Linked DNA regions of Rhinolophus ferrumequinum. The protein of the gene in region 2 interacts with the protein of the main gene of each other region in a biochemical or structural test. Links are inferred from orthologs where the notes say so. Each region holds a gene or a part of one and is shown on either strand. Other genes may lie near its edges.

Region 1 (14,859 bases), on a different chromosome or scaffold from region 2:
AGCTCACTTAGGCTGAAGGGCTTACCTGTGTGACGTAAGTCGTCCCTATTGCTCTTTACAGAGGCTCAGAGGGGAGTGAACTGCTGAAGACTCCCCTAGGCGGCCAGTGACAGGACCGAGGTGGCTGTGAGGGAGCTGACCGGGACCCTGACCCCTTAACCCCTACCCTGTGCTACCTTGATTGCAGATTTGAAACGGTCCATTTGGAAAGGGGGGGTGGTTTTGGATTTTCTAGAGTTATCTATATTCCCCATCCCATCAACTTGCCCTCTGAAGCGTTTGCAGCTCTGGGATGCCTCGGCGCCTTGAGAGTCACGCCCCATCTTGCCACTGAGCTGGACGCCTCCTCCGCCGCAGCCACTTGAGCCCCAGTGTGCCACTCATTTCATTTGGTGACTGCTCCAAATCAACCCTAATAGCTGTGACCTGCAGAGATGCATTCCTTTTAATCTGGTTCTCTTAAACATTTTTGAGCATAAGTAATACACGTTTCAAAATGCAAAAGATACAAAAGGATCTATAGTGAAGTTTCTTCCTGAGTCTCCTTGTCCCCCAGTTCCCTTCTCATAGGCCACCAGTGTTACTAGTGTCTTGAGTAATCCTTACAGAGATGTGTGTATGTGTGTGTGTTGCTATCCTCGTGTACACACACAGAAAACATAGTACATACATACAACACACACATATTAACCGCTTAATTTGTTTAACTAGTCCTTTTGGTAGGGAATTCAAGTTGCTTCCAGTTTCTTCTATTACAAGCAATGCTCCAGGGATCACTTTGTTCAGGGGTGAATTTGGAAAGTGCCAGTGATAATCACTTAGTTAAAATACTAATATTGGGTCAATATCTAATCTGAATTAGGCTCTCCCCTAAGACTATTGGCATTCGTCAGATGGTTTATTTACACATTTATCACCCCATTCCACAAAAGAACTAAGAGCAGTTGGACTTGTCTAATTGGAGAGTGCTGGAGGAAGCGAGTCGGGCTGCTAAGAGCTTACCTTAACCAGCCCCTCTGTGCCAGGAAGTACTAAATCAGTGCTTTGCTGAGTTGATGGACTTGTTGAATCCTCAGGGTCAGGGTATCCCCAGGAAAGTCAGGGATTTCCTATTCTCATCGCATAAACAGATGTGGAAATGGAGGGGAAGTGAGCCCAGGGCGCATGCTACATCACAGAGCCAGATGTGAGCCAGTCCCGGTGGGTGATTCTGTTTGGATGTGGTCTTAGGATGAGGTCACCTCCGGACACGTCACCTCCACTGATAGCTCCACCAGTGGATGCAAAGCAAGATGGGAACTTGCAGTGCCTGTGGCAGTAGCCAGGATCCAGGCCAGCCCCACCACCACTTCCTCCAGTGCCTGATCCCGGTGCCGAGAGATGGGCCAGGAGTCGGGCTACAGTGATAGTGACTCCTCCTTTCCCTCTAGGATCTGAGCTGACTGGAGAACGCTGCTCCTGTGGACCTGCCTTTGAAGGTTGACATTTACATACACTGAACTTGACCTGCTTGAACTGCAAACTAAGTCTTGGCAAACTTCAAACAGGGACAGTTTATTTTTTAGAACAGTTTTAGATGTACAGAAATTGAGAAGTGTGCTTAGTACAGGGTTCCCATCTACCCCATATCCAGTTTCCCCTATTAAGAGTCTACGTTAGTGTGATAGCATTTGTTACAATTAGTGAAACAATAAGGATACATTAACTAGAGTCCATTGTTATTCAGATTTCCTTAGTTTTAACATCTTTTTCTGTCCCAGGATACCGTATCATGTTTATGTTGTCAAATATTTATGTTGACAAATAAGGAGTTGTCATGTCTCCTTAGGTTCCTCCTGGCTGTGGCAGCTTCTCAGACTTGTTTTTGGTGACTTTGACAGTTTTGAAGAATACTTGTCAGGTATATTATGGTATGTCCCTCAATCGGGATTTATCTGGTGTTTTTCTCTCTTGATTGGACTATGTATTGTTCAGAAAAAGAGCTCAGAGATAAAGTGCCATTTTGTTAAATATCTAGGGTACATATTGTCAACATGATTTATCACTGTTTATGTTAACCTTGATCACCTACTATTTGTCAGGTTTCTCCACTGTAAAGTTGCTCTTCTTTCTCTTTCCATACTGGGTTCTTTGAAAGGAAATCACTCGGAGCAGCCCACACGCAAGGAGTCGGGGGCTCGTGCTCTAACTCCTTAAGGGCAAAATACCCACACAAATGACTTGGAATTCTTCTGTGAGGGAGATTGGTCTCTTCTATTTATTAACTTAATCATTTTTTTAAATCAGTATGGACTCATGGATATTTATTTATATTTGGGTTATAATCCAATGCTGCTTTATTTATTTAGTTCACATTATTCCAGCTTTGGCCATTGGGCACTCTTTCAGTTGGCTCCTGTGTCCCTTTGATGTAGCTCCATTATTGCATAGTCGATTTTTGTTTGTTTGTTTTGTTTTGTTTTTGGTACATCCTTACTTTCTGGCACTACAGATACTCCGGGCTCATCTTGTATATTTCCTGCCCTGGTCCTAGAATCAGCCATTTTTCCAAGGAGTCTGGTTCCTACTACTGTAGAGTGGTATTAGGAACCAAGATCTCGGTAGGAGATGTGCTGGTTGCTACTGGGGCAACACCTCCTTTTTAAAAAAATGTAATCTGAAAAGTGTTTATTTGGGATTAACTCATGCACACAGTACAAAATTCAAAAACACAAAGGGATATGTACAATTAAGACTGTTCTGTGCCCAGTAGACTGGCAAAAAATTTAAAGTTTCAATGTTGTGGAAGATTTGGAGTAATGTGAGTATGTACACTGCTGTAGGAATGTCAGTGTCAGCCACTTAAAAAGTGTTAACAAAACCCCACTTTATTGAGATCTAATTCACATATCACACAATACACCCAGTTAAAGTGCACAATTCAATGGCTTGTAGTTATTCACAGAGTTGTTGTTAGTCCATCACCACTTTTTAGAATATTTTCATTACCCTGAAAAGAAACCCCACACCCCTTAGCCATCATTCCCCAAGTCTTCCCATACTCTGCCTCCCTCGCCAACCCCTGGCAACCACGAATGTACTGTTTCTAGATTTGCCTCTTCTGGACATTTCATATAGACAAAATCATACAATATGAGAGGCCTTTTGTGTCTGATTTCTGTCACTTAGCATGTTTTCAAGGTTCATGCATGTTGTAGCATGTGTCAATACTTCATTAATTTTTTTTGATGAATATTGCATTGTATGGATATGTCACATTTTGTTTATTTAGTTGGTGGACATTGGGTTGGTTCCACTTTTGGGCTATTACAAATAATGCCTCCATGAACATTCGTGAACAAGTTTTTGTGTGGACATATGTTTTCAATTTTCTTGGGTATATACTTAGGAGTCGAATTGTTGGGTCATATGTTACTTCTATTTTTAACGATTTGAGGAACTGCTGGACTGTTTTCCAAAGTGGCTGCCCCGTTTTACATTCCCACTAGCAGTGCGTGAGGGTTCTGATTTCTCTATATCCTCGCCAACACATTGTCTGCCTTTTAGATTATTGCCATCCTAGCAGGTGTAAATGATATTATTTTGGTTTTGATTTGCATTTCCCTGATAGCTAATGATGTTAACATCTTTTAATGTGCTTGTTGGAAAAAGCTTCCTTTTAAAGTAACTGCATAGTGTTCCCTTGTGTGGATGTACCTTGATGTATTGAACCAGTCCCTTATTGTGGACACTTAGGTGGTTTCCAAGTCTTTTTCTGTCACACACAGTGCCTCTTGCGTATGTGACATTTTGCTCACGTGTGAACATATCCACAGGGTAAATACCTAGGGCAAAGGGAATGTACCTGTGTTTTATAAGTTTAAATTTATGCCACTTGTGTATTTAAAAGTAAATATTGAGAATAATCAGAGTTGTTTGAAGAACATTCTAATTCTTCCTCCAGTGTTAACGTTTAGCAGGTTCAACCACATCGGAGTCGGTGGCCACTTTATTTTCCTATTTTGTTTTGGTTAAACTTTTGCATAATTCAAGACTGACTTTTGCATAGACTCCATGTCAGGTTGAGGCAGGTGTTCAGAGCACATAAACCTACATTCATTCTTCCAAAATTTTCCCCTAACGGTGCCTTTCTGCCCCCTCATATTTAGTACTGTTCTTGCTCCTAAGTGACCAGCATTGCATGTCTTGGCGATCGTTTGGCCTTCTTGATGGTCTGTTATGATTAAGAGCTTGAGCTCTGTCTCTGTGTGATCTTGGGCAAGTGACTCACCTCTCTGTGCTTCAGTTTCCTTTTCACTGAGATGGGAGTAATAGTAGCACCTACCTCACAGGATGACGATGAGGATCAAATGAGTCAATTCAAACAGTGCCTGGCACAGTGTTGTTATCTAACATTATCTCTGCAATTGATGATTTTCAGGGAAGATATTCAGCACCAGCATTAATTAGTACCACCACCTAAAGAACCCTTTAATGACATTCTCATAGGCTACAAAAAAGCGCTTTTTGGGTAACTCTTTATTTTTATATAATTATAAACTTATAGAAAAGTAGCAAGAATAATACGAGGGTTTCCTGTCTACGATTTGTCCACATCTGCCAATTGTTTGCTCATTTTTCTTACCATTCCCTGCTTTCCCCTCCCCCTCTATAAGCATATATACACATAGGTTGTGGTTTTGAACCATTTGAGAGTTAAGTTGGAGAACATGATGCCCCTTTACCATGGAATACTTCAGTGTGTATTTCCGAAGAACAAAAACATTCTCTTTCATGAGTACAGTACAACTATAAAAACCAAGAAATTTAACATGGTTACAATATTCTTATCTAACCCTCAGTTTCATTGTCTCAGTAATGTTCCTTATTGCCATTTCGCCCCCGGCTCAGAACCCAATTCCGGACCATGTGTTGCTTTTAGGAGTCGTGTCAGTTCCTTTTAAGTAACCACACAAAAGCCCCCCAGCTTGCTGCGGGAATCTTGATGCCTGCTGGTCAGCAGGGTTCCAGCGAGGATGGCCAGCGCGTGTGGCGCCACCTTGTGGCAATAGCTTGAATAGCGTTTATAAATCACATCATTGGGCAACTGTGAAGTGATTGATGCCCTTCTTGATGACCTAAAAAAAAAAATGGAGTGATAGTCATATTATCTCTTTTTCTTCATAATGTGGGAAACTATGTTTTAAGTATGTTGCTGTTTCAAATCCACATACTTTAACTTAGCATAATACGATATTTTGCTATCTCAAATCTGGACCCGCACCGGTGAAGTCCAGTGCAGTAGGTAAAAGTGTGAGGTTGGCCTGAGACGTCCTTGGGAATGCATCCGGGTGCCGCAATATTCTGGCTGTGTGATGTTTGGCAAGAGACTTCCCCTCTCTGGGCCTCTGTTTACTTCTGCAAAATAGGCCTTACGGAGACTTCTAAGTAGACAAGTTCAGACCTGAAGTAAAATTCACCTCAGTACAGAGCTTTCACCTGCCTAATCAAAACCACAATCAGTCAACAAATATTTATTCATTCCCCAAGCCCCAACTATGTGGCAGACATTGTTCTTAGGGGCTGGGGAAACAGTGGTGCCCAAGACAAGGTCTTTGCCCTCATGGGAAAATTTATATTCTGGTTTGGGGAAGACAGTTACAAAATAAACTACAAAAATATTCTTTAGTGTTAAGTGCTAGGTAGGGGATTCGGATATGCTAAAGAGATAGTGACAGCCTAGCTCTTTCGGATGTGGGATGGTCAGGGAAAGTCTCTAAAGAGGTGAGATTTGAACTGAGTTCCGAAAGACAAGAAGGAGCCAGTCATGCAAAGATCAGGATTGGGGTGAATAGCTCAGGCACAAGGAACAGCAAATACAAAGGCCCCGAGGTGGGGACAGCTTGTCTTTCTGGAGAGGCAGAAAAGAGCTTAGTGTGTCTAGCACATGGTGGTCAAGGGCGAGAGTAGCTTGAGATGAAGTTCGAAAGATCGGCAGGGCCAGCTCACATAGGGCCCTGAAGGCCAGGGTGAGGCTTTTAGCGTTTATTCCATGTGGGTGGGAAGCCATCTGTGTGTTCCGAGCAGATCAACAAGGTGTTCAATTTTACCGAGGGGAGAAAAAGCTTCATTTCAAAGTCTGCCCCAAAGTGCAGTAGCCTAGCACGACCACGGAAACATTTTGGGAATCTCCTACATGTTAAAATATTGAATAGGCATGGTGTCTTCTATTTCAACTTTTGAAAGAAACAAATTTCATAAAAAGAAAATTGGAACTAACATTTATAGAATCCTTGAGGTTCATCTGTACTTCTGCCAGACACTTAAAATGACTCTAAAAGGATCTTCCCAACACAGTAGCATCTAGGGTGGGGTTTAGTAACTTCTGGCTGGGGAGTCAGAAACATTATTTCAACATTTCTGTATAATGTGGGAAACCCTTTGAAATAAAAACTTTTAAAAAATGGTGTCAGACTTCTTTGAGAATCGGATTAATGCTGTGGACTTTCTCCCCTGAAAACACTCTGCTTAGGATGAAGAAAGGGAGAATTCTGATTCCCTCTGCTTTCATTTCCTAATTGCCCATGTGGCAAGGAGGTGCCCCTGCCCCCATGGCCACCGCCACCACTATCTGGGATAGACCCTCAGCCCTTGTGGGAAGGAGTAGAAGCCTCCCCATTTGGGAATCCTAAAAGCTGGTCCATGCAGCTTGTCCAGTCACCACTGGGAACCCAATCTCTGTGAGAAGGGTTGAAATGGGCTCCAGGGGCTGACGTCTGCTACCTGGGGACAGAAGGGGGCTTTGAGGAGATGCCCTCTCCGTCCCTCAGGGCTGGATTCTTAAATCACTTTTTCTGAATCGAGGCATTTGAGCAGACATGATAAGCTACCGGCCCTTCTCCCCAGAAAAATGCACAGGCAGCCCATATTTATAGTTATGGGCGGGGAGTTCACAGAACAGATTAGAGGGTAGAGAACAATTTGGGGTTTTAGGGAATTTTCTCCTCAATCACCCTTGATGTGGAAATTGAGAGACTGAGGCCCCCAAAAGATAATTAAGTGGTTTGCTGAAGCAACACTGGACAAAAATAGGGCCAATACTTTCCTGCATGGTATGAGTTCAAAGAACAGGCTCTTGTATGAGACTGCCAGGGTTCAAATCCTACCTCTACCCCTAACTTGTTCTGGGACAAATACTGCTGCACTAACCTCCCAGAGGGTGTTGACAGCGTTGGTGGGACGGTGTTAAAAGAACCCGGCCTCTTAACAATTGCTAAATAAATTCGATTGATATTTTGCAACGAGGAAAAGCAGGCTCAGAGAAGTGAAGTTATTTTGATGACACAGGAAAGGCATGATTAGAACTAGGGCTTGTCCATCTCCAAAGCCAGTGAGAGCTGTTCACCCCCCCAGACTAGTGTTTTTCAAACTGCAAGGCATGACCCATTAATGGGTCAGAAAATCAATTCAGCCGGGTCTCAAACAGCACTGAAAAAATTAAATGTTAGAGTGCATCATACGTAAGAGTAAATAGAATTTCATAACACTTGTTTCATTATACTATAAGTACCCATATGTGTGTACCAGGCCTTAAAATAGTTTGAAAGCCATTACTAGTGTCCCAGGGAGTTTCTACACAAGCATATGGGAGGTTTCAGTGAGATACTCTATCCTTTACCTTAGGAGGGGCAGGGATTCCAGTCACCAGGAAGACCTGAGGTAGGGATAGGCTGTGAGCTGTTCAGCATGGAGAGGAAAGAAGAGGGTAGGCCACAGTAACCTTGAGTCTAGATTAGAGCAGAAGGGTGAAACAAATATTCCCCAAGGGCCCACTCTGTGCCAAGCCTTTGCTGGGCAGCTAGATACGCAGTGATGACGGAGACAGTCCTGGTCTTTTCCTTCTCGGGGCTCTCTGTGCAGCAAAGGAGACAGACCTGTCACCAGACACTGAGGCTCTAATATGGTCAGGGCTGTGGTAGGGGAGGCAATAGACAGAGTTATCAACACTGTGATGGGGCAAGACGATGAATTAGAAATACAGGGCAGCAAGTTTCAAGCTGGAAACCCATTCATTAGCTAAGGGCTAGTTCCAGCATTAGGTTCACGTATGGGGAAACTAAGGCCCACCGCCGAGCAGCACCTGCCAGACACTCTCTCAAAGACTTAGGTGGACCCAGGATTCTTCAACTCCCAGCCAGGCCTTCTAGAAAAAGTATGCACTAACCAATACATACTTGCCAAGCCGTGTGGCATACTGGGACCCAAATTCATAAGCTAACGAGCCCCACCCAACCCTTTGGAGAGAAGGGACTGGGAGCCAGATGTTTCCCAGCTGGTTAGTACACCAGCTAATAAATTGGGCCAGGATGTGTGCAAAATTTTTCTTGGGTGATTTTAAGGCCTTTGTAGGCCCAAGTTACCCCATAAAAAAGTTATATCCCATATTTAATTGCATATATACGATAAACAGATACGAATATTTTGCAGTCAGAGGATGTCTAATTGCCATAAGCTGTTCTGTTTACATAAAATAGTCCAATCGCCCAGTGACGCAGGTATGATCGTTTCCATTTTGCAGATGTGGATACTGAGGCACAGAAAAAACGGTGGAGCCTTCTGCCCAGTCACGAGGAAGAAAATGCAAAGCTGGCTTTGTGTGGTTTCAGAGGCTGAGCTCAACCATGAGGAACATATTGAAATGGCAACCCCTGCTGACTCCAGGTCCAGGGTTCTTCACGGGCTTTCGGAACCTGGGAGGAAAAGCCAGACCCGGGAAAAACGACATCAAAGCGTATGTAAATAAGGACCAGGGGCTGCCGGGAAACATCACTGCGACCAGCCTCTAGGGAAAGCGGGCGTCAGTCAGGGTCCTAGTGCGCCTGCTCACTCCTAGCTCTTCTTTCCGTCCGGCGCCTGCGCGAGGCCCATCCCTAACCAACAACGGCCAAACTTGTCTATTGTACGCAGGCGCCCTGCTCTGAGTCCGCCTTCGCCCCTTCCTTGCGCTTGCGCTCTAGCGCTCTCCGAGTCCAACTCTCGCTTTTACGTCAGTTCCTGTTTGTGGCAGGAGAAGGCGGTATTTCCGGCCAGAGGGTGGGAGGGGGCGGTAAGCGGGGGCTGGGGGGAGGGGGCGGGGGGGCCGCGCCGCGCGAGCCGTTGGGTCTGGCTCCGAGAAGGCGTTGCCGCCGCCGCTGCTGCCGTTGCCGCCGCCGCTGCCGCCGCCGCTGCCACTGCAGCCAGGAAACACAGGAGCGGGACCAAGCGCAGCGTGGCGATGGGCGGGAGTAGAGCCCCGCCGGAGAGGCTGGGCGGCCGCCGGTGACAGGTGAGTGCGCCAGCGCGTGTCCCCGAGCGGCCCCCCCCCGCGGTGGTCGCGTCCGGACCCCCCGCAGTGCCGCGCTGGGCCGTACCACCAGTGCCGGCCGGGCGGGGACCGCGGTCCTCGAACCCCCCCTTCCGGGACTGAGTGGGGGTGGCTGCGCGGGGGTGGTAGTTCTAACCCTGAGGGGCCGGGGGCGGCGGGCCGTACCACTGAAGCGGCGAGGGGCTACCAAAGTGCGAGGACCGTACCACTGAAGGGCTGGGGGCGCGGACCCCAGCATGTGCGTGGGGCGGGCTGAACCCACGGGGTGTGAAGGGAGAGCGCGCCTGGTGGGCGAGCGCTGAACCCTTGAGAGGGCGCACCTTACCAAGTGTACGGGGCTGTACCTATTTGGGGCTGTGGGAGCAGTCCCTGTAATTCGTTGAGCGAGGTGGGGGCTTCTGGGGAGGGAGCTGTACCAAGTATGGCCGGGGTAGTGCCGCCTGGGTTATGCCACTGGGGGGAGCCATCCTTAGAACGTAGAGAACGCTACATCAAAGGAGGAGGGCTGTGAAGTTTATAATTTTTGAGGGACGGGACAGGCCCACGTGGGTGTTCAGGGGAGTATTTTGGGAGGGCTGTAATGCAAGTGACGAGGAGGGGCTTCTGCCTCCTAAGTTTGGTGGGTGGGGCTTGGGGTTTACACTTAGCTGAAGGGAGGATCACCCTTTATTGAACTTAGTGACTTTGAGGGGAACTGGGCGGACACTGGACTGCTGTTTACCCCAGCACCCTTTCATGTTATTACGCCTTATTTTAAGATGTGTGTGACACCTCTGTGGCAAGTGTTTCTTTCCTTGGGGAGGGTGAGATGTCTTAGAAGCCAATGTTTGTGGTGTTTTGAGCTTTCCTCCATTTAGGGAAGGGAAGGGTTATTGAGCTTGGATTTAAGGAGCTGTGTGCGCTCCCGGTCCTGCTTAAGACTTGGGAGGAAGGGGCGTTTGGAGGGACACCTCTCTCCTATGACAAGGTGGCTGGGGACATCTTGATCCTTGGGATTCTGAGGATCCCCTTCCTCTGATTTGGAGGCTGCTTGGACTCAGCAAGGGGTCTAGACTGGAGTAATGAGGTCCTCCATGGGCTGCCATTCAACCTTGTTCCTCTTCCCCTCCCAGAGAAGCATGGGGAGTTAAGTCAGGCCTGCGGGCCTGCCCTTGGTTGGTGGTGAGTGTGAAGGGGCCAGGCACCACCCACCGCAGGCCCCTCTGTTCTCCTTGAGGCTGCTTGTCTCTCTGGGTTAGCGGTCCAGCTGCCCATCATGTTTACGCTCCCCATCAGGCGATAACAGTTGGCCTCACCATTAGTCGGCAATGAGGCTAAGCACTGTTTTCCCAGCTGTTCCTCTTTGCATAGGCCAAGGGGACCCAGGGAGGAAAACTGCTCTGAAGGATTTGGGACAGCCAGATTCCCCACAGATCTGGCCTTTGGGTGGATGCTTGGAGCAGCCAGCCCCAGACGTGAGGCCACTGTCCTTGTTCTCCAGGCCAGCTTATGACCTTGGCTTGCCCAGTAACCTTTGCCTTGGGTCTGGAGTCCCCAGAGGGCTGGCTGCGGTCCCCGATTGACCCAACTAACATGGGCTGATGATGTGGTCAAAGGGGACAGATGGTCGCTTCTGGTCCACAGCGTCAGCTTCCACGCTGACTGGCTCCTGTGAGTTGTGGTTCCTGGAGAAAAAGGTCCCTGAGTCTCTGTGAGGCCATGGTGGCTCTACAGTTTTTCTCCACTAAGGGTTTGTTTTTCTGGTCTCCTGCCAGTTTTAGAGGGTTTGCCTGATGGGGTTAACAGCAGCAATAAAAACAATTGTGAGATGGATGGCTGACATTTATTGAATGCATTCTGTGTGCTGTTCAGAATGCTTCACGTGGATTAAGTTGCTGAATACATCCTAGAACCATAGGTACTATTATGATGTTCTGTTTTAGAAGGGGAAACTGAGGCACACAGAGGCAAATCATTTCCAGAGCTAGTGAATAGCCAGTTTTTATTGAACATTTACCATATGTCAGGCACGTGACAGGCCTTTTACATACAAGACCTCATTTAAATCTCAAAACAGCCCTATGGGGTGGGTATGGCTGTGCCCCTTTTGGAGACCCCTATGAGGCAGAGAGAAGTGTGATACCCATTTTACAGATGCAGAAACTGACACTTGCTGTGAAGTGAAATGACTTGCCCCAGGTCTCACAGCAAGAAGTGATAAAGCTGTGAACCCCTGTCACCGTTGGACCTCAAAGTTGTACCTCTTGTCAACAAGTAGGTGATTTCTTTGCACCCAGAGGTGGATATGGTGTTTCTGTCCATTTTGCAGAGCCAGAAATTGAGGCTCAGAATAGGAATTGCCTTTTCCTAGGTTTACCAGACCTAGAGGGCCAGCCTGGGGTTTGAATGCATGTTAACTTGTCTCTGGTGTCATGTACTCCTTGCTCACTGAGTCCCAAGCTGGAGTGGGTCTCTGTCACCTCAAAGCCCCTGCCTTGGACCTTGCCAGCTGCACCTATGGGCATTTTGTTCTCGTCCCCAGAGCCTAGGACTGCTGTGAGCATGTCTGCCGGCAGCCAGCCCAGCATTTCTGGGCTTGCTGATGAAATCTGGTCTATCCTGAGTTGGGCCAGGGCATCTTTGAACCCGGGGCAGAGTGTGTGTGGGGAGCCAAAAGAAGACAGTAAGAGCGATATGCAGAGGGTGACACAGCTACCAGGGGACCTGTGGTAGAAGTCCCTGCACAAGGATGGTGTAGTGGGCACGCCTGCAAGTTCTTGTGTTTTCACGTCCTGGCTGTGTGACGTTGGGCCATAGTGTTCATCTCTGTGCAGTGGGCTCAGAACAGTACCCACATTGGGCTGTTGTGAGGATTGAGTTAATTCATGAGAAGCTCCTCGAATGGTGGCTGGCAGTGTGTAAATGCCCAGTCAGCAGTCCCAAGGGCATCCACCCTTCCCTACCCCTTACCCTTAGTCCTCTTGGGTGTCCTGCTATCCAGCCACCCAGCCTGGCCCAGCTAGGATTCAGGAATCTGGTGTCCTGGTATCTAATCTCCATGAAGAACTGTGTTGAAGTGATTCAGAGCACGGGGTTCAAATCCATCCCTTCCACTTACTGGCTGTGTGACCTTGAGCAGGTTCCTCAACCCTTCTGAGCCCAGTTCGTCATCTGTGTCATAGAATGATGATAATTCTCCCTTGATCGGTTATTGTGAAGGTTAAATGGGCTCATTTGTGAAAAACATTTATAACTGGGCAGGCATAACAGTAAGCCTCCAGTAAACGTTTCTTGCTCTCACTACATTTAAGAAGAGTGCCCAACGTGTGGTAAGCCCTAGGACATGTTAGCAATTGTGATTCACATCCTGCTGGGATTTTGAAGGCCCTTTCCAGGTTACAGAGCCTTGACAGGTAACACCATGAGGAGGGCAGGGCTGAAGTTAGCATCTCCATTTTCCAGATGAGGGTTAGGAGTGGGAGGGATGTATAATCCAAAGAAAAACTGGCAAATGCAGCACCCAGGTCTTCTCAGTCTCCCACACATTTGCTGCCCGGAGCCCCTCAGAGGTCAAAAGTCCAGCTCCTTTCCAGATGTCAGCCTCTGCTAAGCCCTCCTCCCATACATGTGTTTACTGTATCTCCATCACAGTCCCCAGGAGTAGTGGGAATGGCCTTGACCCAGGTGAGGGACAGCCCTTTTGAAGGCTTGAGGCGGAAGGGTGGGCAGGGAGCGTTGGAGAAGTAAGTGCTCATGGAGTCGGGCCAGGCTGTGCAGAGCCTGGTGGGCCTGGTCAAGAAGCTTCGATTTGATCCCAAAGCCATTGCAGAGCCGAGGAAAGGTTTTCGTTCATCCACCACCATTTGTTGAGCACCTACTGCATGCCTGGCATTGCTTCAGGTGCTGGAGATACAGGGTGCACTTGACAAAGGACCCACCCCCGTGGAGCTGAGGGGGACAAACCCTCAACTGGTTTACTAAAAGAGGGGCCAGTGAAAGGGAGGGGCCAGGCAGTGAATTAAAATCAGGTGTGACTGGTGCTGCTTTAGCTGGGCCGCTGTCAGGAAGGCCTTTGAGCTGATCCCGCATTGACAAGGAGACAGGAGAACAAACAGCCTTGGGGTGTGTGGGGGGGCACAGTACAAAAGTCACAGGGAGGACAGAGCTTGGTGAGGTGCAAGGACAGGGTAAGGGAGAGGGTGTGGGGGTGGGGGTGGCCGAGGGCTGGGCTACTCAGAGCCTTGCAGTCCGGCCTAAGGAGCAACTTGGGTCAGTTTTAGGGTTTTAGCAGGTGCCTTTTTCCATAAGAGAGGTTCTCAGGCCTGGGGTGGGGGTAGGTTTTAGAGATGGTCAGGGAGTTTCACAGGCCTGCCACTTCCCTCTTGAGTAGAATCTCTGCCTTATAAACTGTGAAAGCCTGATGGTCGCCTCCCTCCTGTGGTTTTCACACCGTGTTCCCCAGGGCTCATGGCTGTTCCCTTTAGGGACAGATGGGGGGAGGGGTCAGTGGGCTGATTTGCTTCCTACTCTCCCCAACCCAAATAGCTGGGCTAACATCAAGTAACAATGCAGAACGGTAGTAATAGTAATACCCGATTCAAAACAAAACAAAACACTTGCTGAATCTGCCTTCCGCTCAGCTTCTGTGCCTGAGGGCCTATGCCATTCTTGGCACTGCTCTAGAATTTAGAAGACTAGGCCTGTGGGCCTACCTTCTAGTGGAGACAGTTACCCAGTAAACAAGCCTATGATGGGACATCAAGTCAAGATCAATGTTATGAAAGCAAAGAGAATGGGGATCAGGAGAAAGAGTGTGGGGATATTAGTATGTTTTAGCTGGGATGATCAGGGAGGGCCTCCCGGAGGAGGCAACGTGTAGGTAGAGACTGGAGTGCAGTGAAGGAGCGCCGGGAGGACTTGAGTGAAGACCCTGCAGACGGAAGAGGAATCAGCTCCGATTCCCACCTGGCAGTGGTGCGAACAGGCCTGGAAAGCCTTGGTAACTTGTGTTGGGTCCCACAAACTGGCAGTGTTGGGACCAAGCTCTGAATTCGGGCAGTTTGGCTCCAGAGTCCCCCAGCCCACGAAGGCACTTAGAACCCTGGGTGAGGGTAGCTTCTAATCGCACACCTGAGCCTCAAACCTAAGGTTTAGCGCAGTGAGCAGGAGCCTGGCTGTTGATTCTCCCAGGCCCGTTTGGGGTGTCCTCCAGGAAGGACTGGAGCCCCTCAGAGCAAACCTCCTGGGGTCCCCAGAATTTCCTTGGATTGGGAGGATGGAAAGAGTGTCCTTTGCAGTTGATCTCCAAACCTCTTGGGGATCCAGGGACACCCCTCTCTGGGCCTCTCTTCGCGTTCCCAAGAACTCTCAGTAGAAGGCTCTCAACCAGCAGGCCTCTGGGCTGCACGGTGGGGTGGTTCCGTGGCAGGCTCTTCTGGACAACCAGCCAAGCAGTGAGAGGCCCAGCTGGGGGAGACAGCCCTGGGAGCAGCACCAGGAGGGAGGGAGTGGAGGAGTCGGTGTGGGAGGGCTGCGGG
Region 2 (15,440 bases):
CTGAAGGCTTGTTGATCATCTCAGTCCCAATGATCTGTCTTTCTATCCCTCAAATACAGAGCACTTACTAGCTGCGTGTACGTCCATCTGGCCCTCACCCCATGTGGCCTGCGGTGGCTCGTAATGCCTTGCACATGACTGCACGGGAGGCCTCATCTTAGGTCACTACCCCTGTCCCTTGCTTAGTTCACACTCACCTTCCGTCGGTTCTTCCTAGAAGTTATGTCCCGTCCGCTGTAGGTCAGGGCCTTTGAAATAATCTTCCCCTCCTGCCCTCCCACCGCCCAGCACCCTCTCAACTAATCATTTCACTCTTAAGATCTCAGCTCAAATGCCTCTTCTTCAAGGATGCTTTTGAAGACCACACACACACACACACACACACACACACAACTTACCCTCACAATCCACACGGAGCCTTCTCCTGTCCTCTCCCCTAACTCTCTATGCTAACACTTATCATGTTTAATCACCTACCTGCATTGTTATTATGTTAATGTGTCTCTCCCAGGAAACTGACACATACTCATAAATTCATAAGCAGAATCTGTATTTGGTTTGTCCATCATTACCTAGCCAGTAGCCAGAGCAGTGCCTGCCACCTATAAGTGCTCGATAAATATGTGTTAGACAACGGAAAGAATAAATGAAGAGTAAATTAGTGTAAACCAGCGGTCATGTGATGCATTTTTGCTGAATAAACTCACTTTGAGGTAGAGGCAATGTGAAATCATTAAGTAATAATACCTAGACAGATGCATGCACAGATACAGATCTTGAATCAACGGAATCACATATAGAAAGCAGAAATTTAACTATTCTGTCATAATTCTATAGGAATTACTTAAACATCTTTTCCATATCTCATTCTGCATATATATATATGTGTGTGTATATATATGTGTGTGTGTGTGTGTATATATATATACATATATATATCTGCACTTATATGTGTGTGTGTGTGTGTGTGTGTGTGTAATTTATCTTCTGCAGGTATTTTTCAGTCCATTAAACAGATATCTGCAGCCATCCTCTCCCTGTGACTCATTCTACTGCTTGACTTTGGCTTAAAACCAACAACAGGGCCGGCCCGGTGGCTCAGGTGGTTGGAGCGCCGTGCTCCTAACGCCAAGATCGCCAGTTCAATTCCCACATGGGCCATTGACTGCGCCCTCTGCAGCTAAGATTGTCAACAATGGCTCTCCTTGGAGCTGGGCTGCCATGAGCAGCCAGAGGTCGGCGTGAGCTGCCCTAGGCTGCCGCGGGCTGCTGTGCTGCTGTGGGCTACTGTGTGCTGCCACGAACAGCCGGTGGCCAGCGTGAGCAGCCGGCCAGCGGCGGGGGGAGCGCAAGGCTCATAATACCAGCATGGGTCAGGGAGTTGTGTCCTACACTAGACTGAAAAACAATGGCTTGAACCGAAGTGGGGGTGCAGGAGAGGCAGAAGAAGGGGAGAAAAAAAAAAAACAATAATTTTTTACTTGGGGTAAAGAACTGACAGATTCCCATGGTGACTCCAATCCGACACTTTTTCATTTTCTCCTTCATGTTAGGCAGGAAACACTAAAATTCTGGGAACAAGATGTGTGTCACACATTGGAAATGTTCATATCTGCTGATAACACTCCATCTACCTCGGCTAAACACATGAGGAAGCCACATGGTCACAATCTAACGGAACACAGAACATAACTAATAAACTGAAGCAACATTCCACATGTTATCACTTTCAGCTTTGCGCAACATGTGGAAACAGGCTCAGGCACCACTTGGTCATGTCAGAACATCTAACGGAGGAGGATGCAGGTTGGGGATTTATTATGGTCATTCACCTCAGGGAAGTGTCCGAAGGAGTACATTACAACCTCCACATGTCTGTACATTACAGATTTCTTACTTTTAAAGGAGTATTTTCTGAGATGTATTTACCTTTCAGATGCTTGGACTATTAGTGTTGCCCTGGCTGTTTTGAATACTTGAAAACAAAAGGTACTAGGTAACTGCTCATGAGAAATTGAGACTAAGGAAAAAAAACAAAACACTCCTTTTTATAAGTATTGCAGCATTTGCATCAACTCAGATAACTGAAAAGCTTTGCTTCATCCTCCACTCCCTGTGCCCCCACCAAAGTAACACATATTTATTATCTCCTGTTTTATCCACCTCAACTATTTTATCCAAGTTATAAGGCTCAAGTTCAGTTGGGCTTCCTGGTGGGTAATTTTTCTCATGCTAAAGAAGAAACATGAAATAAAGTAGGAAAAATCATATAAGCCAGAAAAAAAAAATACATCATCAAAATCTCACAATAGTTTACCTAAAAAGTGAAACTCAATTTTGGGAGCTTAGTAGTTCAAGTGAATCAACATCAGTCATTACATAGTCAATTTGCGTTAGAAAGAAAATGTTAAGTTGAATGCTTGAGGCTTGAGCCCTCTTGTTAAATTCCTTTTTATCAGTAATCAAACCTTCAATGAATTCCTCACAACAGGAAGGCCACTCAACCACTAAGATACTTCTCTTCATAACCTAGGGCTATGCCTTCCCTAGTCTAATTAACAAGGAAACAAAATCTCTCCAAAGAAGCAAATCTACTACCTAGTTAAGCAAACCTGGGTCAGGTGTCTCAGAAATGATCAACCTGATCACGCGTTCTGAGGTTAAAAATATTCATGAGTCCATATCCACTCATCAAGGTACAGGTAAAATCTATAAAATAAAGGAAATCTAAGAAAACTACTATAAGCAGAACAATTTTACCTGTGGGCTTCAAATATGGAAAGAAAACCTTCCTAACCCAATGTCATCACTATCTTAAAAAAATAAACAATTAAATGTGAATCAAAAGAAATATGATAGCCTAGTGATGAAACTGTTTTCTATTGATTAAAGCACTTCACACACTTTATATCTACTGATGTACATACATCATTTTAAAAGATGAGTTGAGAGGGAAGTAAGTTGAGAGACTACAGCGGTCTGATAGTCACATCTGTGAATTTATCCTATCTAGTATCACCCCAGTGGGTTGTTCCTCCGTTAAATGAAAGAAGTGAGATTTGAGTGTTTATTATAAAGATTTGAAAAAAATATTCTCATCCAGGTTAACTGTTCTTCAAAAATAGACTTTATTTGTTTGGCCAATTATCAAAACTGTTTCCTCCAACAATGGAGTCGTTTTAATTATCTGATGCCCATCTCTACTTTTTATTTTTACAAAGATGAGAAAAGCATGTTTTATTGGCATGCCATTACCCACAATATAAATTTAGATTTATTCAGAATACCTTACCTTCTAGAAATTTAAATTGTGGTAACTGTCCAAATTTTCATTTTCACTTAATGTTATTTCAGCCCAAACCCAAACCCAAGAAAAATCATTGTGATGGAACATTTCATTTCACTCCCTGTAAATGTAAAACCCAACATAAAACTAGATTATCTGCTGTTTTAGCATAGTCCTAAATGACGTTTCGTTGCTATAGCAACAAAACTCTGCTACCTGTGGCCATGATTTGTTAAGAATTCCTCCAACCAGTAAATTCTGTGCTGTGGATTCATAAGACCAATAGAATGGCTCTAAGCAACATAAACGTTAAGGCTTGATTTCCTACTCATGATTTACCCACACACATATTTATAATATGTATACATATATGTACACATACATGCATAATTATGGCTCTCCCAACTCCATTAACAAAGTAAAACCATAACAAGTTTCCATTTTAAAATGTGCACAAAAAACTGCTGTGCTTTAGATTTCATTGAATAATCACTACCTGTTTCCCAAAATTTATCTTAAAAGGTAATAGAGACTACCTGGAGAACATTTTTAAAAACAAGAAAATGTATTATGTATATCCAATCTCATTCCAACAGGGGAAAAAAAATATCCTGAAGCACAATTTCCTATCTGTCATAGTGAGGCTTCTTTAGCAATGAGCTGATTTAGAAAACATCGAGCTAAAGAATAAAGAAAAAAATGTGGTCATCGCCACTGTTATGCACCAAACTACTTCTGCAGCTACTCACCCTCACTGGGGGGCTCCAGGCTTGCACCCGCGGCTGCTGTCCACCCTGGGAGCTCTGCAGATCTTTTGAGCTACAGTTAGCCACATTGCTGCTCTGAGCCCTCAAAGCATTTGTGCAGTTCGTTCCACTGCCTCCACCAGGGCCAGGTTTCCAAGGCCTCTGCTTGATGCCATCCAGAAGTCTGACCAGCAGGATGTTACTTGGGAGCTCCTCAACACCCGAGCCAACAAGAGTTCTGCACTCGGGACATCTGAGTTCATTTCGGGAACCTACGATCCCCAGCAAACATCGTTTGCAAAACGTATGCTGACAAGGCAAGACTTTTGCAGAAGCATCAAGCCGCTCTAGACACACAGGACACTCCAGAAGATCCAACAAGGCAGATTCATCCATGTTTAACGAGTTTGCTAAGGAAAAGCTTCAGCAATGTTCATAGTTGTATGCAGCCTTTAAAGTAATTCATGTAACATCCATTTCAGACTTTGCTCTGGAGTCACAAGGTGGGGGCAGGGGGAGAGAAAAGATGGAAAATTAGTATTGTTATCTGGGGACAAGGTTCACAGTAGAGCCAAGAACCAAAAAGTACACAGAAGTGCTTCCTCTGAATAGTTTAGCTTTGCTTTGGAATGTAGTTCCTGAACTCCAAAGTCAACAATTAAAAACAAAATAGGCTTTTTCAACAATTCAAAATTAATCCTTAGCCATAGCTAGGAGTTAGTTCACTGTGCAGACATACGTATCCAGCACTATACAGGACTCCTGCAATAAATACGATTTATGAAATGTAATAAAGAACATAATTTCTTCAGCTCTCAAAGTGACATTAGCTGCCTTAATAAAGTCCTCAACTTATGAGGAGCTGAACAGAAGCAACTGAAAGTTTCCTCCACCTGAATTTACTTCTAAATCCAACAAAATTCCCAATTTATAAAACACTTTATAGTTTAAGAAACCAAGCCTCATGTGATCACTTTGTGGTAAATGATCCCAATATTAAATACATATGTTTCTTCACTGGCCTTAAAAATAGAACTGTTTAATCTTGTCCAACCAAAATGAGTTGAAGGTTGTGACAATTTTAAAGGACACGACTACAGATTGGCTTGAAAGCAGCTAAAATATAAAAGGGCCCTTCAGGACAGTGGTTGACAAACTCTGAAATGGATTTCTGAACAGCTTGCCCTAATCCCATTCAGAAAATCTGGCAAAATTACCACCAAAAGAATTTGACAATGGAATGCTGGACTGAAAACTGTGGGCATAATATGAAAATTCAGGAAAAAGCCTTAAACCAGTGACTGCGCCGCTCTCCCACCACCATCAAAAGAAACGTAAATGTGAATGCCTAGGAGGAAGGGGGTGAAAGATTCTGATGGGAGCGTTAACAGCTGTTCTTGATAAGAGTCGGGGCAGGGGGGTGGGGGGCTCTCTGCCACGCAGCCCAGCACAGGTACTTCTGACCCGCAGGGAGGCGCGGCGGCCACGCGCCGCAGATACACCTCGAAGCCAGGTGTCGCCGGCACCCGGCAGGGGAAGGGTCCCGGGCAGGGGCTGTGGCCCGGACGGTGCCCGAATGGGAATCTCATTCAACAGCCTCATCGCAACTTCCCTTTGGGTCAGGCCGGGCACAAAATCTCTCCGCTGGAAGTTCTCAAGGACTTAAAAATAAATTCGCAGCCTTGAGTTGCGAAAGTGAGCCCCACAAAGTGCCACCGGGAACCAGCGATCACCCCGCAGAGAGGACGTGGGAGTCCCAGAGACGCAGCCAGCGGAGAGCGGGGGGAGCGGGGCTGCGCCGTGAGAGCGCGGCACGGAGCCCGGGCAGCTTCCTGCCGGGAGGAGGCAGCGAGGCCGCGGGCTCCGCTCCCGCAGGTCCCGGCTCCGGGCCCACAGGGACCCGAGGGTGGGGGACAGAGAGCCTGACCAGCGCGGAGGGAAGGAGAAGGGGACGCCCTGACCACCGCCTTCTCCACCGAGAGGCTGTGCCCGCGCCGGTCCCCGCGCCCTACCTCGCGCCTCGGCTCCTCCTCTTTGTTCGCGGCCCCGCAGCGGTGGAGGCAACCGATGCGGATGCGGCCCCGCGGCGATCGCCGCTCACAGTGTGTCTGACGCGGCGGCGGCCCCGGAGACTCCTCTCTACCGCCCCCCTCACGCGCGCACACACACGCCGCCGCCACCTCCCACTTTCCCAGCCAAGGAGGGCGGAGGAAGAGGAGGAGGAGGAGGAGGAGGAGGCCGAGCCGCAGCCGGCGCCCGGGGCGCGAGGGGCCGCCCCGGACCACAGCGCCTCCCCCCGGATCGGGCGCCGCACCTCGCGGAACCGCGCGGCGATCGCGCCTTCCTCTCGGCGCTGAGGTACCTGCGCGCGGGACCCCCGCCCGGGCGCGCAAGGGGTCGGGGGACCAAGGGGGCGCTGGGAGAGCCGATTGTCCGCGAAGCGGGGTCCCCAGGGGGCGGCGAGGAGGAAGGCTTAGGGGCGCACGCCTCCCTCGGAGGAAAACACGCCTGCAAAGTGATGCCACCGGAGGGGAGGGCGTTGGGATTGGCGGCTGAGTGAAGGAGGAAGGGACCGTGGGGCAGGGGTCGGCCGCGTCCTTCTCCGGCCCGGCGGGGCGCGGCGGCCCGGGACCGACGGCGCGGGGCGGGGCTGGGTCCCGGGAAAGGGCGGGAGCAGCCCTGGCGGGAACTGATCCCACGCTGATCTGCATCGGGTTGCCCAGCCCTGGAGAGACACTGGGTAGAATAAGGGCCAAGTGTTGGAACCCCTTAGGTCCGAGGGAGGCATGTTGAATTAGTAGAGGTCGGTCCCAGGGTCGCTGTCCACCCGCCGATTCCCGGGGCCACCGCCGCCCCGCATCGTTCCCCCTTCTGCCTGCACCCAGGCACCACCCTGCCTCCCCCGGGACGCACCCCCGCAGCAAGCTGAGAATTGTTGACCCAGAAACTCAGAATGGGAAGGGAGACGGGCTGGAAAAAACAGTCGTGTGGATTTGAAACCCACCCTTGGGAGGCCCCGTTCTACCTTCCCTACGTGGGGAAAATTCAAAGTGTGACCTCAGGTGAGCTGGCACGTAAAGCTAGCTGAGAGGCGCCTCTTTCATCTGAGCCTGGGAGGCAGCCATAACCACTGTAATCTTTGTTTTGGTTGCCCCAGGCACACACCTGTAAACTCTGAAATGCAGTTTTGAAAAACATGCCCTCCACAGGTTTTGAGGTTTATTTTTCAGACTCAATTCAGAGGGAAAACAAGTTGAAATTTTGTCGTTGATCTCAAAGTTGTCATTATTTTTTTTGCATTTACCGTCAGCTTAACAAAAAGTTATCCCAGATACCCTTCCTAGGTGTGCAGAAACTAGGCGAAAATAAGGAGAGAATGGTTACAGATACTGTGGAAGAAAGCTCTACCTGGCTGTCGACCATGCTGCCATTTTTATAGGGAGTCAGATTATTCTCTAGTTTCCAGCCAGGGCCACAACTAAACCATTCAACACAAATGAGAATAACCAAAATAAGAACAAAAAATTATAACAGCTAACAATTATTATTCACTCTATGCCAGTCACTTTGCTAAACATTTCACATGCATTAATTCAATCCTCATGCAACCCTGTACGTCATTCCTTCTTAGCTTTGTTCTAAATAGATTAATATGCTGAGAATCATACTCTATGAATACCAGAAATAAGAACCCTCTTCCCCCTCCATTAAAAGTGAGCAAATACACATGCATTTTTACTGAGCATGACGAGAAAAAAATGAACAGAATAGAGAATTTTTAATCCAATAATTTATAAACAAGGCACTCTGTAAGTGACTACTTAGCTCCATATTTGTGCTTCTGGAATCGTTCAGACCAAGGTGAGGCTGACTAGAAGGTTACAGCCAGTAAACAGATAAACATTATATGCAGTTAACAGTTATTAAAACTGAAGCTCCAATAGGTTCACTTCACCCCCAGATCACACAATAAGGAATTTTGAACCAAGACTCAACCTCATGTCTCTGGATTCCAAGTCCAGTTTTCTTTTCACCGTTCCAAGGACCTCTCTTTTGCACATCACCTCAGGCAAAATTGAGTGCACTGGGTCTCCCCACAAGGGAAAGACTACTATTAATCATGTATTACTCTGGAGAGTAAGGGACAATTTTTGTTTTTTTTGTTTGTTTGTTCATATTTAGAGACAACATTAACACAAGGTCATGGGGTGGGATGGTGCAACTCTTGAAACTCTAGGCAAGAAAATCAGTAGTTATACCCATTATCAAAGAACTGAAGACAACGTGTCCAAGTTTGCAGAGATCAAAGAAGATGGCACACACATCCCATGAATATTATCTGGTTCTTTGAATGTCCTTGGTGCTAGTTTACTATATTTTTTAGAACACAACTCTTTCATTAGCCTTAATTACTCCAGCTGTAAAATGAGGTTTTAGGCAAATTAACTTCTTGAGCCATCTTCCCTCTGTCATATGGTGAAAAAATAATACCTTTCTTAGAGTGTTGTTGGAGGATTCCAGAAGACAACGTGCTGGTTCCCTATAATCTGCACATCTCTATTAAAGAAGATACCATCATTATCATTATCTCCCAAGAATTACCCAGGCTGAGTTACTGGGCAAAACCCTTTTTTTTCCCAGGGTCTTAAACGTCTGAAACAACACTAATAATTGCAAAATCCTGTTAAGAGAATAAAGTGAAGGGACATTTGGGGAAACAGAAGTATGTTCATCTTGCCATTTCTGAGCACTGAACATGAAGGAAAGAATGTGTGATACACTTATGGCCCCTGTGACTTTGAGTAGATATATGAATAATATAAACACACCCTGTACATAATGATGATAGCTTGGATTTACACGGTTTTTATCCTCCCAAGACTTCAAAGAACTTGCATATATGTTATCTCATTTATCTTCTCAGCATCCTTCTGAAGCAGCAAAGACAGATATAATCATTCCCCTGTTGTAGATGGGAAAAAATGAGGTGTGGAGAAGTTATTCCTCTTAGTGATGATGTTATGACACAAGTCGGGCTTTTGAATTCCCAGTCCAGAGTACTCTTTGGTAAGCTTTCGTATCATGCTTAGACACGCATATACACACATGTGTCTGGTCATCATTTTCCTTCGAACCTAATTACTCCTCCAGCTATCATGATACTGGTAAATAGCACTATTTACCCAGTTGTTTAAACTAGAAATGTAGGTCATCTTCAATTTCTCCTTTTTCCTCTCCATCCCTCTTCATCAACAATTCTCCCAGCTACCCCAAAATATATATTTCAATTTCTACCCACTTCTCTTTGCCTTCACTGTATCTTTATTTAAACCACCATCACTCTTTGCCTCTGGCCCTCCTAACCAGCTTTTCTTCTATGCCTATTATCACAATCTTGCCCTGACTGTAGTGACATTCAGAGGGAGCTAGAAAAAAAATGTATAACAGATCATGTAACTCCCTTGCTCAAAACTCATCCATTTCTTCCCATCACACTTGGAATCAAATGGCTTGCACATCTTACAAGACCCTATATCACCTGGACCCTGCACCATCATGTTCCACCATGGCACTCCATTTATCTTTATAGTACTTTTCACAGCCTAATGTTGTATTCCTTCTATTTTGCCTATCTTCCTTACCTGAATATAAGATCCCTCAAGGCACGGACTGGTCTTCCTCTTCGCCATGGTATCCTTGACAGCCAACCCATATTGGGCACTGGAGAATAATTTTCAAATAAGGAATTATATTTATTGCCATCCTAACACTACATACACACGGAGTACTTCATTGCCCTGCAGACAATGTTCCCAGTTACCTTGACAGTCTTCCTTATAATCTATCAATCGATACATTTTCATGTAGAAGATGAGGACATACAATTCTTCCTCTTACATTTCATAGTGAAGCTGGAAAAACAACTAAATGCGGCTATGTATCACAGAACATAAATGCGATGCCAGTTTGTCTTCATTTCTAGGTTTTAGTTAATGGTGTCAGCATGTACTTCATTCCCCAAGCAAGAAAATGCAGTTATCTTCAATTCCTTCTACGCCCACGCCCACCTCCCATCCAGAGATCATCAGAAGTGCTGCTTAAATCCGCCCCTTCCTCCCAATCCTTATTTCAGGCCTGCTTAGCTACTCCTTGGACTATAACTACTGTCCCTGCTTCCAGTCTCTCCGGGGCTGGAAGAGAGATTCTGGAGAGAGCCTTGGAGTCAAAGGCTCCTCCATCTATCACTGCGTGACCATCACGCAAGTTTCTAATCTTCTGTGCCTGCGTTTTCCCTGTCAAATGCACATAGTACCACTACCTACCTCAGGGTTTCTGTGGCGATTTTACGTAAGTTTATAAAAATAGAATGCTTGGCACTATGCCCAACACATGGTAAGTGCTTAATAAATGAAAATTATTATTTTTATTAGAATCTAGGTTCAATACTGGATCTACTACCTGTTAACTGAATGACTTTACAAATATCTCTAATTTTCTGAGTTTCAACTTCCTTGTATACACAAATGGATATAATGTTATCCACTTTGAAAGCTCATTGTAAAAAATTAATGTCAAAACTCATTGAAAAATATAGCACGGCACCTTTCTGGCACATAGTAGGGACTCAATCAAATGTTTATTTCCTGCCTCCTTTTCTATGTATCTGTCTGCATCTGTTTCTATATAATTAGAGAGTGGATTGGATTGGCACCTCTAAGATTCTTTCCAGCATTAAAACTTTTTAGCCCATCCTAATTGCAGAAAGGACACCCAAGGGCAATGGAATCCCCTTGGAAAAAGCCAAGTGGTCTTGAAGTGCCATAGTTGTCAGGGAGTGGGGCTCTTAGCAGTTGGAGTCAGGCAAGCCCAGAGAAGCTATTTTGGTCTGTAGTAGTGGGAAGGTGGTGTGAACTCCACTGTCTGGCAAAACAAAATCTGAGCAGATGGAATATTTATAGGCATTCCCCTAGGATTTCAGCTCAATCAGAATGGATGCTAGGGAGAAAGACTGATGAGTGGGAGGTAACTGAACTGCATCTTCCTCCAGCCTTCTTAAAACAGGTCTGAACATTTGAATTTTTTGACAGTGGAATGCCTGGGGAGAGCTGGAGTTCTCTAAACTGACCAAATCCAACTCAGCCTTCAGGGAGTGGTTCTTGAGGTTTAAGTGCAGTCAGAATCACCTGCAAAGCTCCTTAAAAATGCAGACACCCTGGCCTCCTCTCTAGAGATTCTCACTTAGTAGGTCTAGCCTGGGTTCAAGAATCAAATGATTATAAAATAGGTGCTGCTGGGACTATAACTTGAGAAACGCTAACCTAGAATCACCCAGAGGCACATTAAAAGGGAGATACCCCAGGTGCTGTCCAGGGAAGCTAATCAATAGGGGCTTTGGTTTTGTTGAGAAGGATATGGGAGCTTGGCACCATGGGAGGTTTGCTGGGGGCAACAGGAGAGCCATTGAGTGTTGCCACCTCCATTCATTCCAGTCTGCCCTGCCCCCCTTCCCTGCCCACACCAACATGCAGTGCTCAGCTTCTCCTCTTAAAAAATGCTGGATAGATTTGTAAAGAATATCAGTTTAAAAAGGGAGCCGAGATTTAGCCTGTCCAGAGAAATACACATGGCTGGCTGGCCGACCCCACGTTACTCCCAGACCCTAAAAGTGGATCAGGGTCACCCAATCAAGCCTCAGAAAGTCCAGTCGCTTAGTGCTGTTAAACGTCAATGAAAACATGCCCGAAACTAGGCACACCTAATAAATTTCTCACCCAAGTTCAAAGATAAATTTAACCTATCTGAGGAAAATATAATAGGATTTCTTTCTTTCTATTAAAAATATTTTTATCAAATTCCATTATCATTTTAAAAGTTTAAACCTTGAAGTGGTCTTTTTCTCCTAAGCAAACTTTACCTAACCCAAACTATTAGAGAGTAGGTAAACATCCTTTGCTTTTGCTTTATCTAACCATCTTCAGGAAATGAAATTCCATAATCTTTCTTGGTAACTCATCTTTATATATTAAAGATTGTTTATCAATTTTCAGACTTCCCTTTTTTCTGATCAAATTAAAGAGAAAGGTTGACTTTTCTAATGCATTTAAAGAGGTCAGCTTAAACATACACACAGAAAACATGAATTCTCTGGAGGCTCATGATCCAGGTTTTTATTTTTTCGTTATAATTATATTACAATATAATCATATTACAGTATAGAAGATAATGTTTTTAATCATCTCACTCAAAGTAATCTCTTTGTAACTCAAATGAAGCGCTACAGAGGTTTTTGTTGTTGTTTTTCAATAGGAAACCAAGATAGTATCTGTCCAGTTGACATTCCTTCTCTTTGACAAGACTGTGGAAGACTAAAGATTAAGATAATTTCCGTGTTTTCCGTGATGCTTTTATGCAAAAGTGATGATTTACATAATTTCTTTTCAGTCTCAATTGAATTTCTGAAGCTATTTTTCAAGCAAACTTCCACATGTCTCCAGTGTGCACCATCTGTCTCATCTCTCTCTCTTTTTTTTTAAGTATTACAATTATCTCGTAACAGGAGCTGTCAAATCTTTATTCCCCAAGGATTCTTTCTTTTGATAAATGAAAAGGAATTGTATATATTGTTATGTGTAGCTGTATGAATGTGACGGGAGGTTAAAGAAAGGTTAGATGTTCAAAGCAGTTATGGCTGAGTTGACATATTGGAGGAAATGTGATCAGGTAAGATGGCTAGTATTTAAATCAGATTCTTTGCTCCAGGAAAATGAAGGGATGTTTAGTCAAAAGGTCTGGAGCTCTGACAGCAAAGTGGAATTTGCAATAGACTTGCTAAGGGTGCTGTGGCCCATACTACAAGCATTAGAGAAAATATGAAGAAAAAGGATGACCTTACTCACAGGCTGCAAATTGCTTGTAAAGTCGGTTGGCATTTGCAAATGGTTGATGTTTTTACTGAGGGAATCAAGTTTTATGTTTATATAGTAAGGGTATACTCAGCAGGAACTTCCAGGAAATCACATGGGTTGCCAAGAAAAAGTCCATATTGAAGTATTATTTAAAAAAATATCCTGGCAAAAACATTTAAAAGGCTTTTTAAAAAAATAAATAAATAAAGTTTGCAAGGAAATGCAAGAGAGAGAATTTATGTAGTACTCAGAATTTACAACCAATATATTTTATACCATTGCATAAAAATTTTATTTGCAACTCAATTTTAATCAATTTGTAGAGCTCTAATGACTGAAATCTAGTAAGAAGTACAAAGTACAGTTAAAGCTTCAGCTATCCAGAATCCTAGAAGAATGGGTCACTGGAAAACCAACTTTTATTTGGATGAAAATGTTTGAGATGCAGTATAAGTTTCTCTGATTTTTGAAATAAAAGACACAAAAAGTTAACATTTTCAGATGACTTCAGGCCATCATTGTAAATATCAGTTAGTGTATAAACAGAATGCTTAAGGCTGTGGAGTCATACAGACTTGGGTTTGAGTCCTGGTTCTGAGAATTTTTACTTACATGACTTTAAGAATGTTATTGAACCTCTGTCAGACTCAGTTTCATCATCTATAAAATGAAGATAATGGTATCTACCTCATCGGTTGTTGTGAAGCTTAAAAGAGATAATAACCTTTTAAAAGAGAGTGCTTAGTAGATTTACACAGCACCCAGGAAGAACTCCGTAAAGCTGAACTAATCTTAGTATTACCATCACTGTTGATATTGACATCATTATTTCACACTGAGGAATTTAGGAGCCCTTTTCTCTTAATAACTTCAGAATTCTATGTTTTAATCTCTTGATAATGATGATCTTTCTTCCATTTCTATTGGCACCAGAAGCTACCCAAACCTTTAAATGATGAGGGTTTGGAACTTGCCAAGAGGAAGAGTAGGTGAGGCCCCAACCCAACTACACCTTGTTGTCAGCACTTTTACCTCCCTGAGACAAGCTCCAGACCCATCTCCCACTGACGTGATCCTTACCGTAAGAACTTGACCCTAAGTCTTCTCACATTCTTGGCCTGCAGTGTCCTCTGATGTTTGACTCTCATGTTTGGAATCCTCCTCTCCTCTCTTCACCCACTCTTAATAAATAGTCATCACCTGTGGGTTTCATCTCAAACGTTTGTGGAACTCCACTATCAACACTTAGTCCTGAGCGTGTTAGTCACTTGTCCTACTTCCGACTGCTGGTTCTCTCAGATCCCAGCCTTCTTGGATGGTGCTTGGCCGCAGATCTACAGACTGTTATTTCTCACTACCTGCCCACACCATCATGCAGTGCTCAGCTTCTGCATGGAGGGAAGGGAAGGGCACTGGATGGAAGGGGAGAGGATGGAAGCTGAAGGAAGGGAAGGGAAGGGAAAGGAAAGGAAAGGAAGGGAAGGGAAGGGAAGGAAAAAGAAAAGGAAGGGAAGGGAAGGGAAAGGAAAGGAAGGAGAAAGTGAAATGAGAAAGGGGAAGGGAAAGGAAAGAGCTCTTTATGATTTCTTTTTCTATATTCAAATATGTCAGTCTTTTTATTTATAACATCTACATTTTTTCTGCCTTACTTGAAAGATGTCCTGAAATCCTAAAATCCTAGATTATAGTCCCCTAATTGTTTTTTTTCATTTGTTTTGTTTTGTTTCACATTTAAGTCTTTAATCGTCTAGAATTTATTTTTTATTATGGCGTAAGAGTCACCGTTTCATTCCAAATGGATGGCCAGTTGTGCGGCATCACTCACCTTCAATTGACAAAAGAGAAAACTACAAGTTCAAAAGTAGGATTGAAGACCATCACCCAGGCAGATGTTGCCAACCTATGGGCACGCCGAGGAGCACTCGTTTCCATCACCTCCCACCGAAAACCAAGTGAAGTAAGCTTTAAGAAATGTACTTGTGGGAGTGGGCATTTGATCGGAAAGGAAGCCGGCATTTCTGTTCCTGGCTGTGGGACCAGGGCAGAGCGCAGAAGGGTGATTAGGAGAGCCTGACCTGTATCTCGTGAAATGTGAGGGTCCCTTCATAGAGCTACAGCTGGTCTGACTCCTTGAGGAGTCTCGAGGAAGCAGGTGGACTGGAGCAGTCGCTACAAGGCGGGGAGGGAGGGCTGCAATGGAATAAGGTGTATTTCCAGCATCAGACAGCAAAAGCATGCTTCCTTTTTTTTTTCCCCCATCGTACCATTAAGTAGCAGGGCTTGGGTCATCTTGAAATGATACCTAGAAAAAGGTCTACTTGCCAAGCTGAACTGAATTCCAGAACAAAATGAAACAAAACAACCCTTCTTTAACCCCCTAAAAAAGGCAGAGGGCAAGGGCTGGGTGTAGCTAGGGTGTTTTAGAGGGCAGCTGGAGAGTGTAGCCGCTGCTCCAGGGAAAGGTGCAAGTGTGGAGGTCTCCAGGTGAAATCTCCAAAGACT

The links.
Region 1: the proteins of SH3RF1 (region 2) and AKT2 form a complex in vitro, tested with the Homo sapiens proteins (2 studies listed by BioGRID and IntAct, with this or other methods). The link is inferred for Rhinolophus ferrumequinum from reciprocal best matches to the Homo sapiens genes SH3RF1 and AKT2.

What each region holds. Positions count from the first base shown.
Region 1 is NC_046298.1:39,023,832-39,038,690, reverse strand, and holds the start of AKT2 (RAC-beta serine/threonine-protein kinase), read left to right. Parts: upstream 1-9,093; 5' UTR 9,094-9,304; intron 9,305-14,859. UniProt on the Homo sapiens protein: Serine/threonine kinase closely related to AKT1 and AKT3. All 3 enzymes, AKT1, AKT2 and AKT3, are collectively known as AKT kinase.
Region 2 is NC_046301.1:36,020,044-36,035,483, reverse strand, and holds the start of SH3RF1 (E3 ubiquitin-protein ligase SH3RF1), read right to left. Parts: upstream 6,190-15,440; 5' UTR 6,045-6,189; intron 4,523-6,044; 5' UTR 4,429-4,522; coding exon 4,036-4,428; intron 1-4,035. UniProt on the Homo sapiens protein: Has E3 ubiquitin-protein ligase activity. In the absence of an external substrate, it can catalyze self-ubiquitination. Stimulates ubiquitination of potassium channel KCNJ1, enhancing it's dynamin-dependent and clathrin-independent endocytosis.